2 linked regions of the Caenorhabditis elegans genome follow. The protein of the gene in region 2 purifies or fractionates together with the protein of the main gene of each other region. This does not show direct contact. Each region holds a gene or a part of one and is shown on either strand. Other genes may lie near its edges.

Region 1 (6,033 bases), on a different chromosome or scaffold from region 2:
ATGCTGAAATGAAGAAAGTTACCTCGTTACGGTTGGAATCCATTAGTCTGTATAAGGCGCTATTTTTGTGTTAATCGATTTCTGATCTCTGAGCAAATTAGGAATTTATAGTAAATGCGCAGCCGACTTCGGTTGTGGTCAGCGATGGACCTATTTCCCATGTATATCATATTTTCCTGCGTCTCTTGAATGTTTTTTTTAAACCTAATATGTGCTAGTATTCATGCCTATTCTAATCATAACTCAGAAATTCCTCTAAGAGTCTCATAATGTGTATAAATTACCACAGCAGCAAGCCCCAGAAAGTTTGATTTCGACACTCCCCGTGTTTTCCACCTATTCTAGAAACTTCATACCATGCCAAAAAGATGTGTAATTGTGTACTCAACAAAATTCAATTCCGACATCGCGTCGGGAAATGACAATAAAAATTCATACTTTGCAATCCAGCTCCACAGACAAAGTGCATTTGGTTGAACAGTCCAACAAATTGATAAGCGTTGAATGGAGTGGCCGATACAGAAACAAAATGGACCGCAGACATGCAGTTCGCGTATTCAGAGCCCATGCAAACTTTAAACTCGCGGAAAGCTCTGGAATTATATTCAGGATTCGAGAGAGAGTATCTAGTGAAGTACTGACTTGCAAACTTTACGCATTCCACTGGGTCCTTGAGCCTGGTAGTTTGTCTCCACCTAAATTTAATCAATAATTGTGTTTTGCTCTTTTTTCTGATAATCAAAAAATCAGATTATAATACAATCATGATGACATAATTAATCCCATTGACTTAAAAGTTATCATCGACACGTTCTAAACCTCACATTTCACATTTCACTATGCACACCCTTCGTCATATCACCTTATTCAGTTATCATTTCATGGAATGGCAAGCGTGGAAACTATTGTATTAAAAACTTGCCTCCTTGCGGAAGTTTTCGGGGTCAAACCATGGCTGTGGGTCGCTGATGCTCAAAACCGCATTGAGAGCAGTTTGGCACTCAAAATAAACCGTCGAGTCACAGTTTAGACCGGCTGATTGGACTCCTGGAATAAAAAAATAAGATTAAAACAAATATTTCACAAGTTTTAATTTCAATTTACTTACCTGACAATCCAAGAATCAACGCAAGAAATGGCAAACACCGGTCTTGCCACATCTGAAAGCATAATGTGAGCACAAATATGTATTTTTAATTTTGCAAAAAAAAACACACACACACACAAAGTCAGAAGTATTCAATGCATTGAAGCATTTCAAACGAAAACAAATTTTTGAAATTAAAAAATTATGAATTAAATTACATAGATTTATTCCCAAAAATGTGAATTCAAATAAAACATTTTGACCAAAACAAAAAATGGAGATGATTAAACAAAAGACGATCAGACGCGTTCGTGGACTGAAAATAAAATAAACATTATTTAAACCCCATCCCATTCTGAAAACCTACATGTGCAGAAAATCTGAGAGCACTGTGGGAAGAGAAGATTGGTACCGGTACGCTCGTAGTTGCAACCCCAGTAGGCCATCTCTGGCTTCTTACAAGCGTTCCAGAACAGTTGGAAGTAGCAGTTGGCTGCGATCTCAACGTATCTAGAAAGTTAAGATTATTCATTATTCTTTTTGATTGGAAACAAAACTTGAAAACTTACGCGCAAGCTTGAGCTGGGTCAGCCATGGACTTCACGTTGAAGTCATTGTCGCACTGTCTCATTGCAGCTGTCTGGTTGTTAAAGACAGAAGAGCCGCAAACTTCAGAGTTGGCAAAGACTGAAAATTCAATTCTAGTATTCAGTATTACAGTATAATTGCTAATCTTACTCGAGAATCCAGCACCACAGACAAAATCAAGTTGGTTCCAGATTTTTACGTATCCATTAGCCTGATCCTGTGTGAGTGGGGCGCCGTTGTTGCTGAAGAACAGACAAAAACTGTTACAGTATATATTGAATTGAGAACTTACTTGGTTCCAGTTAGAAGACCGTATGGGTTCTGAGCACATGCGTAGAACTGTTCTTTTGGTTGGCTATAAATCAGTTGATTTGAGATGTAAAAATTAAAGGATCAAAGGGTGTTCCGTTTTTAAACTCCCACTAGGCTTTAGTTTCAAGCCACGAGCCATTAGTGGATTCCTCTAATTCCCAAGCTAGGTTGGGTGATCCTAGGGAAAGGCAGGACTTGAACTAGTGGTCTCATGATTGCTTGCGATCACCACACTACCGACTGAGATATTCCCGTCGCACATTGTGAATCTCACAACATTGCAAACTATGTCACTTACTAGCACTGCTTGTACTGCTTGAAGGCATCGCAAGTTGTAAGAAGCCCGTATGCTTGGTTATTGGCATACGACTGCTCAATGGCACTTCTCAAGTCTTGATATTTGGCAGCACCGAGAGAAGCTGAAACACCAAAACTTTTGTGCTTAATTCTATTTTTCAGTTTCATTACCATCAAATCCCAAAAGTTGATTGAACTGACTCTGACAAACATTTAGCTGGTTATTGATATCGCATGCCGTTAAACTTGGGTTTTGTGCCGCCACAACGCCTGAAACTTTTCATTGGTTTATTTTTTAAGGTCATGTCTCTCAGTTTTTTCCCAGAACTTCTAATAGGTTGAAAAATAATCGAGCCTGGAATGTTTGGTTTCTAAAAGTCGTATCCAGTGCCACCGTACATTTTCTTTTTGATAAGAAAATGCCCGCCGCTAGTTGTGACGCAACTAATACCAACAATCACATTAGATTTAGGAAATTACAGTAGTCTAATACTTGTGCAGATTTCATTTTGGGAACGTTCCCGATCTTGCAAAAGTTACTTAGTCATAATAGTATTTAGGCGTTACCGGGCAACACGTGGAATTTTTCGTTATCAAAACTGATGATAAGTAAGCAAAAGCAATCCGGTTAGTGCAAGACTTAATTCTGCCAATCTAATAACTGTGGAACGGTCTTGTTTAGTTTTGAATACTTGTAAATGATGGGGTAAAGGCAATGAGAATGCGAGAATCAGGAATTGAACGAAATTTTGAAAAAGAGAGTGCCTAGATAAATCGTTGTGAGCAATTGACATTTGAACTATGAATTTTTGAAAAATCGGTAATCAAATAAATAGTGCCTAGTTTTTACTAGAATTTCGATTAAAAGCGCTCCATGATACAGAGAATCTGTCAAGAATCTTACCAACTAGTACAAAAACAGCCAGGCAATAATTGGTAGAGCACATTTCGCGGGGAAGCAGGCGTAGTGCAAAGTCGTGTCTCCCGTTATCACTTTGCCGCTGGCACTTCTGTCTGAATCTCCACCTTTCGAGGGCCGGCTCGCTTTATGGGTTTGCCAACCATCCCCTTCTCTTCCCCACCTCTTTTTCTCCTTAACGCGTGTATGTGCACGTTTATCGTTTCGTTTATTATGATAGTCATACCCTTTTTCAAATTGCATTATCACTTTTTTTTCAGTTTTGATGGAAAATGAAAAAGGGAGCGGCTCTGAAAATGACGAAAACTCTTTTCAGTCCTAAAATGACGCCAGGAAACAAGGCGTGGCTGGTAATTACTTGTTACAGTTCCAGATTTATTAGAAAAAAAGTCATGGAATCTCATTATTTGTGGACAAGGTAGAGAATACATTTGTCAGGGAAGTTGGTGACATTTAGCAATAAAAAGATCAAAACATGGCATCAAAAGTAGAAATACACAGTTTGGGAAGATGTATGAGATCATTGGTTGGTTACAAGTATTCCTGTTTCACAGTAACTCATCAGATGCTGGATTTGCTCGCAGGTGGACTGAAAATAGAATACTTGAATGCAAAAAGACTATAAATTCGAGAGATATACCGCTGGATGGAAGCTCTGCACCAGAGGGCAATTGTTCTTGGCGAATCCGACAAGGTCTTTGATTCCAAATGATTTGGATATTTTGCCCACGTATTCGCAAACTTTGTCCAGTTGTTCTTTTGTCGGCTCTACGGCTGCAGCGGACGGTGAAGAAATTCCCTATAAAAATATGTGGCTTCGATTTTAATAGCTTCTAAAACGATAGCATTGATGATAACCCATGTTTGACAGTGATGTCGTGTTCAAACAGAAAAAAAGAGAGATGATTTGGGTAAGACGAGGCAAATGACTCACAGTGGGTTGCAATGTCGCTGATCCAAAAGAAGCTGTGTTTGGCTTAGCCAGTTCTATTTTTATTTCTCGAGGAACTGTTGCGGCTGATGCCTCTGGGGTGCCGGCAGCTTGATTGTGTTTTCTGTAATGCAATAAGGAAATAGTTTGCTTAAACATTTTGAAATCTTTTTATAAAAACACTTACTGATACCACTCAGCGTAATATTTTTCATAGTACGCTTTAATTGACTTGTCGTCGTCGATAGCAATTGATTCAGGCAGCTGTGTGAATTGGCTGATTGCATATCCAAGAGACGGTTTTGATGTTGTGACCACTACAGCTTCGTCTTCATTCCATCCACCGAGATAAGACTCGCCCACTTTGCTTGGAGCAACTGTAGTCGGCAATGTTTTAATTACAATTGCAGATTGAGCTGTTGGTGGTGTAGTTGTGACTAATGGGGTGGTGGAAATTGTTGTGGTAGTAGTGGGAGTTGTTGCGGATTCAGTTGTTGGCTCAGTAACAATTTCCGTGGGTACTGTGACTTCTGCTGGAGCCTCGGTGACTTTTGTGACTTTTTTCAGCTTTCGATGCTTTCGCTGGAAAATATCAAATTCAATTTTAAGTTCGCATAAAAAATAAATTCTGTTGTAATTGACAACATTTATTTCGAACGGTGTTAGTTTAGACCTTCAAGAAAGGTCGAGGGGATCTACAATACCAATTTGCAATGCTTGGAAATAAATCATCAAAAATAATTTTCATGCGACTATGTAGTAGTATACCTTGTCGGCAAGCTTTAACTTCAATTTAGTCTACTTTTGTAGGCCAATTTTCAAGAAATTATAAGAAGTTAAAATTAGTATAATTGGAATAATTGGAAAATTGAAGAATTTCTTGAACTTTTTTGAAATAAAAACGCCCACTTTTGTATGATCAAAATATCAGGTTCGAAGCCGTCGAGCCCACTAGGTTGGTCTCATCCGCCCTTTTAACAGGAATTATCAATTTGAAATTAAAAAAATCAACCCTACTCTATGACGGCGTTTCTTGGGCGTTTTAGCTGTAGTTGTTGGTTCTTCTGTTTCGGCAATACTGGTAGATGCCACTTCAGTCTGTTGGCTTGGCAAAACTTCAACAAATTCAATAGGAGCTTGAACAGAGCCCATTGTTGGATAGACACGCTCTTCTGCGTAGTGATGCTCTAGGGGAGTTGCTTTTGACACTTCAGAAATTGGCTCAGGGGCTTCGGAAGTGATTGCATGTTCGGGAGTAGTCGATTCGGATGTTGTCACAGGCACTTCTGGCGAAGTCGGAGCTACAGATGACGAAGTTAGTCCGATGTTCGATTTTTCGTCGAAAGATGATGGAGAATCAGTCTCCTTGATTATTGGCATAGATTCAATATTGAACTCTGTGAACGAGAGCGCTGATGGGGACTCATTTGAAGCTGGAGCAAACTCTGATGAAATTTCAGACACCGTTTCAGAAGATGGAACAACTTGTATTGGTGCAGCTGGAGTAGTTGGTATAAGTGACTCCTCTGATTCAATTTCAGCGGGTTTCACGAATATTGGTTGAATGGTGTCAGGAACCCCTGAAATGTGGGACGTATAAATTATTTTTTGTGCAAGGTTTTTTTTCTTTCTAACTTGTTGCTATTTTAAAAACGTTTTGACAATTTTTTTTACTTTCAAAAAGTGGTATTTACTAGGTTTTTCCCACTTTTTTTGATAATACTATAGCACTGTTGTATGTTTGAATTTTCATAATGTTTGGCTATTAATATAAGTGGACCATAAAATTTTAAAGAAAGTTATTTTTGATCAACGACGTCCAAAAGTAGCAAAAACTCAGAGACTGCAACTTTTTGACTGTCAATAAAAAATTTCGATGTTTTTTGAAAAGTTTACTGT
Region 2 (9,420 bases):
TTTAACGCGAAAATTACCAAAGTAGCTTGTTAGAGATAAATAGATAAAGAGATAGAGAGAGCGAGTGCGCGAGTGCACGAAAAATGGAAAGAGAAAAGTTAAAGAGCGATAAGAGGGAGAGAGCGATGAACTAAACATTATATAGTAAAAAAGCTTGGATAAAATAACAATACCGAAAAGAGCGCGTATGACAGAGAGATAGAGAAGAGACAGAAACGAACATATATTCTCCAAGATGAGAGAGAACCACTGACCATTTCGAAATGGACATAAAACTTAATGAAGTGCCCAAGTTGCAGGGGAAAATCAGCCTTTGAGCTTCCGAAAGTACGCTTCCTGAGCGTTACAAGTAAAAACTGAGAATTTAAATGAATTCCTCCTGCAAATCCTGCATCTGCTCAGATTACTCTTGAAAAACGTAAAAATTACCACATTTTTATCATTACGAAACGAGAAAAACGCTTGAAACGCAACAGAATCGAGTAAAATCGATAAATAACCTAACAACTACTAAAAATTTGATAAAAATACAATAAAATCAAAGAAAAATCCAAAAAAAATCGATGCAAATCGATAAAATCACGTCCTTTTTCGTTACCAACACGTAGAATGATGACCATTCGCCGCTGCGGCCAAGGCAAGATTTCATCGCGTCGAGACCCATCGAACACTAAAGGCGATGCGCCTTTAAGCTGGCGCTACGATACTCGCTCCGCTTTCTCGGGGAAAACATATAATTATGAAATGTAATTTTTTTTCTCAATTACATATTTATTTAGTTTGAGATTCCTACAACAACATTAATTTCTAACACATATGTATAGGTACAAATTTTGGAAATTTAGTGCCACTGTTTCTAAAAGTTCATAAAGTTGCAGTTCTAATTTTTACTTAGTAATCTTTTTCTGTTCAATAGTCAATCAAAAAATGTCTAGGCTGTGCAAAAATCGAGTTTTTCAAAGATGTTCAACACTTTTATCCTATCAATATAATGTTGAATTTTTTGTTGCCTGCAAATTGATTTAAAAAAACATGCAATTTCGGCTTTTAGAGGTTTTCTAGGCAAGATGTGAGTGTTCACTGTTTCAGCTTGTACAGAAGTAATGAAACAACTTTTTTATTGCTTCATGTGTTCTATAAAACTCGCCAGAACAGGCCGTTGAGACTGTATAAATTCTTCACTGTTTCAGCGAATTTTTAAAGAGTTCCATGCAATTTAATGTCACTTTAGTGGTCACTTTGGTGTATATTTTCAACAGACAAAAGCTTTTATGTTTCTGAATATTTCGAAACAGTAAATTCCCAATGCTGATAGTGAGTGAAATCGGAACGTCAAAACGAATTTTGCACCTATTTAAAGTTCCAATTTGCATTTAAGATTTTCAGATTTTAATTTGAAATTCCTACGAAAACATAGGTAATTTCTAGCGCAATCCCCAAGAAGAGCACCTAATTTTGTTTCGAAATTCAGTGCCACTGTTTCTAAAAGTTCATAAAGTTGTAGTTCTAATTTTCACTTAGTCATCCTTTCGTGTTCAATTGTCAATCAAAAAGTGTCTAGGCTGTGCAAAAATCGAGTTTTTCAAAGATTTTCGACACGTTTCTCCTAGCAAAATATTTTTTATTTTTTTGTCGTCTTAGAGGCGCGTTATTATCTCGGCGAGATGTAAGTTTTTACCGTTTCAGCATGTTATTAAACAGAGGTAATAAAAAATGTTGCAATTATAATCTCACATGCGATGAATATAAAACTACCGAAACATACCGTTGAGACTTTATAAATTCTTCACTGTTTCAGCAAATTTTGAAAGAGTTTCATGCAACTTATTGGCAATAGGCACATAATGTTCACTCTGGTGTATATTTCTAACAAACAAAAGCTTTTCTGTTTCTGAAGATTTCGAAACAGTAAATTCTCTGATAGTGAGTGAAATTGGAACGTCAAAACGAATTTTGCACCTATTTAAAGTTCCAATTTGCATTTAAGATTTGAAGCTTTTAATTTAAGATTCCTATGACCATGTAAGTAATTTCTAGCACAATCCCCAAGAATATCACCTAATTTTTTTCGAAATTTAGTGTCACTGTTTCTAAAAGTTCATAAAAGTGTAGTTCTTTTATGAAGTGTAGTTCTTTTTGAGAAATTAACAGAAAACAACCACACCCATACTCCCAACCCCAAATCGTCATTTCGGAAATTCTGCCACTTTTTAATGCCATTTGTGTTGGCTCTCGCATGTGTGCCGACACCTTGATAAGGATTTTATTGGGGAATTGGGAGTCTGATAAGATGTAAAAGTGCCACGAAGAATTGGTTGACACTTGGTTTTGCTATTTGAATTAGAATAGTTACCGAGAAGAAGCTCGTCGAAATGAAAGGATTTGTGGTTCTAGGTGAGCAAATTTTTGTTGTATATTGGAAAATAAAAAAAAAGATAGAAGAATATTAATTTTTTGAAACGGAAAAAAATATTTTTAAAAATTCGAAAATGTTTATTTAAAACATTGTCTGTTTCATATCATTGTTTTCAACTCAAATGAAATATTTAAATATTTTGAACCGTTTCCATAGTTTGTATCGTTAAAATATTGAATTTTAGAGCTTTAAAAGTGTTCTGTCAATGTTCTGAAAAAAATTAGAATCTTCGAAAAATTTTGAGATTTTTCTTTTTTGGTCAACTTACAAAATTTTTAACGGCAAAAACTGAGTAATAATTCATGATATTTGATTTTTTTTAGCCTTGAATTAGAGGTTTTTAACATTTTTCCTATTTAGCTATTGTCACATTTCCAGCGCTACTAAAAAAATTTGAATTTTTAAATCACTATTGTGAAACAGGATTTTTTTTCCAATTTAAATTTTTAATTCAATAAGGTCTATCAATCTCTGGTTGTATTACTCTTTTGAGCACAGTTCTTCTAGAAATAACATCTACGACTGACAAAAAAAAAGCAAAATCAACCAAACAGCCAAGATGTGGGCGGAGTTTAATATGAAGTTTTCTTGGTACTTTTTAAAAGTGTGAATCTATTTTTGTCTTGAATTCAATTTTGAAAAAATATACTCCACCCATATCTTAGCTTCTTGTATTTTGGCTCTGAATTTAAAAGTTTGTTTTAAAAAATTTTGTTTCATACCATTGTTTTGAGCTTCAAGGTTTTGATTTTAATTCAATTTTCACTCGAAGAAAATTGAATTAACATGAAATTAAATTAGCAAACTGTGAATATAGATTAAGTGGGGACTTTGATTCAATATGAACACTTATCTAATGGAAAAAACACTCCAAGTAATTTTAGAGCTTCGAAATGTGATGCCAAAGTTTTCGACGAATTATCGGTTTTTGTTTTAATCTGCGCTTATGCAAAATTTTTGAAGCAAATTTTGCATTTTTTGGCTCCTAAACTGTTTAGCTACAAGTATTTGAAACTAAATTAGAATATAAAAATCTCAGAAACTTTTTTATAATTAGAGGTACTTTTATCAGCGATACATTGGAGAACATATTGGTTTTTCGAAATCACAATAGTGAAACAGGAATTTTTTTCCAAATTTAAGTAAACAAGATGTAAGTTCTATTACACACACTTATTTTACAATTAGTAAAATTTTATTTTACCGCAAAAATTGCAATACAAAATTGCCCAAACAACCAAGATGTGGAAGGGGTCTATAATTACATTTTCTTGAAATTTTAAAAACTTTAGCTCTGCTTTTTCTATACTTGAATTTATGTAAAATTGTGACTACTACTCAACCTTAAAAAAACAAAAATTTTCAAGAAATAGACTCCGCCCATATCTTGGTTCTTTTTTTTCTTTGGTTTTATAATTTTTCTCGTTTTTTTTCTTGAATGAATGAAAATACGCAAGAAGTGAAAAATAATACATATCACAAACGTCACAAATTTTCTAACTAATGGGCAATGCTCTTACTTTCCTTATTTGGCGATTTTCCAAAAATGTAAAATTTTTTGAATTTGAAGTACGAAAATTTTCCAACCTCAAAAAAAATTTTCCTCCAACTTTATGAATCTAAAAACTTCAAATTTTCAGCCCTTGCCCTCTTGGCTTCTACCCAAATTTCTGCTCAAACTCCTCCAACATGCGTCGACGCAAAATTCCAAGCTTGCCAGTACAATATGGCTCAAAGCCTCGGGCTCAATGATACGGTATCTGCTCAATTGTTCAAGGACTATACTATCATGTACAACTACTTCCTGTACATGTTCGGAAGAAATCCAGGACAGACTGCCGATATGTTGACCGTTTGCAAGTTAGTCTTGAAAATTTATCAATGTTGAAGTTAGGAAGAATATTGATTTTAATACTTTGTGAAACAGTAACTTTTCGATTAAAAAAGTAATTTTGTAATTTTTTCTACATGTCCAACAGCCCAACGAGACATTTGAAAATTCAGAATTTTTAACAAAACTTTGAAACAATGTTTGTTGGAAATTATAGAAAACAAACAAGACCGGTTTTGAAAAAACAGTATTTACTTCTTTGAATATTTTTAACAGTTTGAAATAGAGAACTTGGAGCATTTTTTTTTTCCAATTTTTTAACACACCCTAGAATTATGTTTTTAATAAAGTTTAATTGTAACTAGAAATCGTGTAATAGTGAGAAATGGTTCTCTCAAATTCCATAATTTTCGAGTGAATGCTTTAAATTGTAAACACTATAGGAAGTATCTGTTCTATCGATGTTTAAGTTGAAAATATCAATTAAAAAGTACACCAAACAGTAATTTTTCGAAGAACAAACATTTTTTCCATATTATGATTCCTTTAAAAGTCGAATGTTTATTGAAGAGAGTGACTAGTTATTTGGAAAGTCCCAATATTTTTTTGAAAAATTTGAAACAGCGATTTTTTTTTAAATTATATGCAACATAAAAGGAAAGAGCACTGCAAATTCGAAACTGTTTGAGAAAATTTTAATGTTTTAAATGGAAAAAATGTTCTGTACAATTTCACTAACTTTGTAAATTCAATTCGATTTCCCGAAAAGTTAGTAATCCAACGTTTATTTCAGACTTTAAGCGCATTTTTCAAAACAAAAAATGCAATTGGAAATATTTTAAAACAGATCGAAAATTCTCACTGAAAAATCAAAAATTATAAAAAATACTTTACTGTTTCACAAACATTATAATACAGTTTTTAAAAATTGTTTTCCACTCATAAAATAATAAAATTCCAATTTTCTAAAATTTCAGCAGTCTCGAAACTTTCAATCTCTGCATGCACGGAAACCGTGGATGTTTGGACATTTACAACCTAATCAAGAAGACTGACATTAATAATGTAAGTTTTGGAATTTAAAAATACGAACATTGGAACAGCAATTAGTCTTTTTCAAACAAAAAAAAACAGAAGTATTTCACACAGAAAGCCAAGAAAAATGAGAAGAAAATCTTCGAAAATTGCAGGCTTACGCGGTGGAGGCAACCTATAGACAATACTCGTCCTTCAACTGTGGCCCAGGAATTAATAGTTGGGTTTTTTTTTTTGGAATTTTGAGGGGAAAATGTAGAAAAATTTGGGGATTTTTTTGAGTTTTACATTGAAATGTAGTGCGAAATCTATTTTTCGAACAGATATTAGCAGTTTACCACATTAAAAGTTATTGGAAATTTGAAGTATTTGAGTTAAATAATATTATTGAAAAAATAAACTTGGAGTTTTCACAGCAAATTGAAACAGTAAAATTTTTTTTTTTGGAAAAAAGTATTGAATTTTAAATTTTATAAAAAAATGAAATTTTAAATGAATTTCGGAAATTCTGTAAATCTAGTATCTCGTTGAAATGAATTTAATGGTTTTCGAATTTTGTTACATTGATTTTAGATAAATTGATTTTTTATTCAAGAAATAATAAAAATAATAAACTAGACAATCTGAAAATAATATGAAACAGAAAATAATTTTTCGTATAAATTAATTTTCAAATTAAACTATTTAACTATCTAATTTTCGTTGTTTTTTGCACAACGATACTAAATTTGAGATGTTCAATCAATCCAATGGAGCTTTGTCGCAAAACTATGTTTATTAATATCCTACTGCGACTAACTCAAAAAAAATTAACTCGAAGATTTGAAAACACATTGAAACACTAGAAATTTTTCAAAAAAGTTGAAGAAGTGTTACCATAAAACTTGTCAAAAAGTAAATTAGTGTACCTATGTCCAGTTTGTAGGCGTGGCTTGCGATGCTCCGCCCTTTTCTCTCAGAGCAAGTAAATTTTGTGGTAAATGCAGTTATTCGTTGAATTTTAATTTTTTTTAAAGTTCTGTAATAACATCATTACCATATATAAAGCGCTATTCCGTTTGTCTCTGACGTCACGGGTGACGTCACAACATTCAGCGCAAAAATTCAACTGAGAAAATTTTGAGGCTACTTATGATGAATGCGCACCCGACATCGATCGAGGTACGCGATAAACCACTCGACACTTTCCGAAAACATTTTGGCGGGAATTCAAATTTTAATTTTTCTAAAACATTTTGGCGGGAATTCAAATTTTAATTTTTTAAAATCATTTTGGCACTTATTCCGTGTGTCCATAGTTTGTAGTCTATGTAGTCTTTGTAGTCTGTGACGTCACAGCTTAAAGAGGCAATGCGTTTTGAGATGTTTGAGAGATATTGGTTTGGGGTTAGAAGGGGGATATGGTCGGGGTACTGTAGTAGTACTGTAGTTTTAGAAAAATAAACAATTTTTCGAAAACATTTTGGCGGGAATTCAAATTGAAATTTTCCGAAAACATTTTGACGGGAATTCAAATTTAAATGTTTTAATAATATTATTGTGGAATACTTTAGAACACTCTGGAAAATTGGAGAAAATTCTGGAATGTTCCAGAACCTTCTTGGAAATTTGGGAAAGTTCTGGAATCTTCTTGAATCATCAGGAAAATTGGGGAAAATTCTGGATTGTTCTAGAACCTTCTCGAAAATTCGAGAAAATTTTGGATTGTTCCAGAATCTTTTGAAAAACTCGAGAAAATTCTGAATGTTTGTGGCGAGACCTATCGTGGTTAGACCCATCATGGTGAGACCCTTAAAACTTTCGGTGGGAAATTGCTGGAAATAAATATTTTGCCGCGAAGTTCGAATTTAAATTTTTTTGAAATCATTTTGGCGGGAATTCAAACTTCAATTTATTGAAAACATTTTGAAGAGGTGTTGATATAGGAGTTAGTGGAGAATAATGTCAAGGTACTGTAGTGGTACTGTGGGGGGGGGGGGTACTGTTGGTAGGTGCCCGCGCCGTAGGCGCGGTCAACGGCTGGTTGGTAAACACGAACAACCAATAACAAAAAATCACTTGACAATTTGAGAATAATATGAAACAGACTTTTTTCTCAGTCAAACCGTTAGTGATCTAATTGTAAAAAAAAACATTTTTAATTAGATTTCGAGCAAAGTTAACACAGTCATAATTAGAAGGGTACAAATTCTAATTTAAAATGACTTTTCTAATTTAATTGAATTAGAAATGAAAAACTAATTTAGCATGGGGGAAATAAAATACAGTTTGGTATTTCAAATTAGTAATGCTTGTTAGTAATGTGCCAAATTTAAAATGGTTTTTATCTAATTGGATCACTAATGGTTTGACTGAGTTGTCGCTCAAATTAATTTTTTAATAATTCGAAAATGTATAATTTTCGTAGTTTTTTCTCAAATAGACTAAAGTTTACGCAATTTCGAATGCAGAAGAATCGGCTAGAATATTGGAAAAAAAATTTTGAAGTTTCAAAAGCAAGTTGAAACAGTCGATAATTTTTTTTTTTAAAAACCGAAATTTTACATCTTAAGTAATCGGCAAAACATGTCTAAAACAAAATTAATCTATGTCCATTTTGTAGGCGGAGTTTACAAGGTTCCGCCCCTTTCTTAATGAGCAAATAGACTTTCGGTAAATGTAGTGTCTCGTTGAAATAAATTTTATGGTTTTTGAATTTTGTTACAATGATTTTACATAAAAGGATTCTTATTGAATAACCAATAATAAAAAATAACTTGACAGTTTGAAAATAATATGAAACAGAATATAATTTTTCGCATAAATTACTTTTCAAATTAAACTAATTGTCTAATTTTCGTAGTTTTTTGCACAAAGATACTAAACTTGAAATGTTCAATCAAAATTTTTTGTTGCGAAAAAATAATATTCGTTCAGTGGAGCGCATTTTCTTTATTGTAAATTTTATATATTCAAGTTAAGCTCTAAATAGTCCACATAGCCATCGAATATTGAAAATAAATTAACCTGAATATTTAAAAGCAAGTTGAAACAATCGATAATTTTTTTGAAAAAAAAAAAAATTAAAACTTTAAATGCCACAAAGCAGGAATAAAACGAAATTAATCTTTGTCCATTTTGTAGGCGGGGTTTACAAGGTCCCGCCCTTTTTTGCAGTGACTTCTTCAATAAGTTATTTTTGAAGCAAGCAAAAATGGAAGTGAAACAATTAAAAAACTAAAACTTTTTGAAAATAATATGAAACGAAACATATTTTTTTCGGGCAAATTATTTCCCAAATAGTTTTTTTTCACACTGGCTATAGTTTATAAACTCAAAACTTTCAATCAGAAAGTCCCAAACGTATTGATTTTGCTATTAACATTTTTTTTTGTTCAGTGGAGCGCAGTTGCATTGTTGAAAACTTTTTAAAAATTTTTTAATAATACCTAGAACTTATACTAGTATTGAAAAAAAAATCACTTGAAGATTTGAAAGCATATTGAAACAGCAAATTTTTTCACAAAGTAAAAATTTTTTTTTTCATTTTAGTGAGCTACAATACATATCTAAAAATCAATTTTGAAATCCAATAGAGCGCACTTTCAGCTCTCGAGCACGAAGGCCTCAGCTGCCCACAACGAGTTCTCAACACCCAATCAAATATTCTCATCGGATGCGTTCAAACCTACATCACCAACGTGGCAAATGACGCTACAAACGGTTGCAAGTGAGTTGTTTGCTAGAGCGCGTTTGCAGAGTAGATCAAAAAACTAATTTTCAGGTACGGTCAAGACCTCATGAATTGCTGGTCAGCCCCATTCCAGACTGCTCCCTGCCGCAGAGAAGCTGGAGTTGCCACGTGGTGGGCTTGTGAGCAGAATAAGGTTTTCGTGAAGACTACCTTCCCAAGTTGCCCATTGGCTTGTGATGGTTTGTGCAGTAGAGCGCTGTTGCATTTTGTAAAATAATTTTTTGAAATTTTCAGAAAAATTCGGCCCATTCTTCGGTGCCAACGCTAATTGGCTCGATACTCACCACAAAATTGTCGATGATGTTCATTGGTTCAAGATGCCTGATACAGTTGAGCAGAAGGACGGTCAACTTGTCTCTGTTGATGGAGTTTGGCTGAAATCTCTTTAAATTTTACTTTAAATTT

Evidence for each region. The genes of interacting proteins can lie anywhere in the genome.
Region 1: the proteins of nspg-9 (region 2) and nspg-14 fractionate together in Caenorhabditis elegans (co-fractionation; one large-scale study listed by BioGRID). This does not show direct contact.

What each region holds. Positions count from the first base shown.
Region 1 is NC_003284.9:5,250,321-5,256,353, reverse strand, and holds nspg-14 (DUF19 domain-containing protein), read right to left. Parts: upstream 3,308-6,033; 5' UTR 3,232-3,307; coding exon 3,189-3,231; intron 2,555-3,188; coding exon 2,456-2,554; intron 2,407-2,455; coding exon 2,286-2,406; intron 2,031-2,285; coding exon 1,968-2,030; intron 1,918-1,967; coding exon 1,826-1,917; intron 1,775-1,825; coding exon 1,657-1,774; intron 1,598-1,656; coding exon 1,455-1,597; intron 1,404-1,454; coding exon 1,387-1,403; 3' UTR 1,286-1,386; downstream 1-1,285. Other genes in the region: nspg-13 (DUF19 domain-containing protein), read right to left, coding at 1-3, 439-593, 643-695, 923-1,047, 1,109-1,160; Y34B4A.10 (aECM cysteine-cradle domain-containing protein), read right to left, coding at 3,724-3,792, 3,844-4,002, 4,138-4,258, 4,322-4,716, 5,152-5,714.
Region 2 is NC_003282.8:14,454,628-14,464,047, forward strand, and holds the start of nspg-9 (DUF19 domain-containing protein), read left to right. Parts: upstream 1-2,272; 5' UTR 2,273-2,372; coding exon 2,373-2,394; intron 2,395-2,395; exon of another isoform or gene 2,396-2,416; intron 2,417-2,553; exon of another isoform or gene 2,554-2,575; intron 2,576-2,772; exon of another isoform or gene 2,773-2,793; intron 2,794-3,175; exon of another isoform or gene 3,176-3,196; intron 3,197-3,313; exon of another isoform or gene 3,314-3,337; intron 3,338-3,895; exon of another isoform or gene 3,896-3,920; intron 3,921-4,056; coding exon 4,057-4,276; exon of another isoform or gene 4,277-4,297; intron 4,298-4,378; exon of another isoform or gene 4,379-4,399; intron 4,400-4,480; exon of another isoform or gene 4,481-4,501; intron 4,502-4,559; exon of another isoform or gene 4,560-4,580; intron 4,581-4,684; exon of another isoform or gene 4,685-4,705; intron 4,706-4,799; exon of another isoform or gene 4,800-4,824; intron 4,825-5,020; exon of another isoform or gene 5,021-5,041; intron 5,042-5,186; exon of another isoform or gene 5,187-5,207; intron 5,208-5,224; coding exon 5,225-5,312; intron 5,313-5,437; coding exon 5,438-5,501; intron 5,502-5,642; exon of another isoform or gene 5,643-5,666; intron 5,667-5,858; exon of another isoform or gene 5,859-5,879; and 21 more.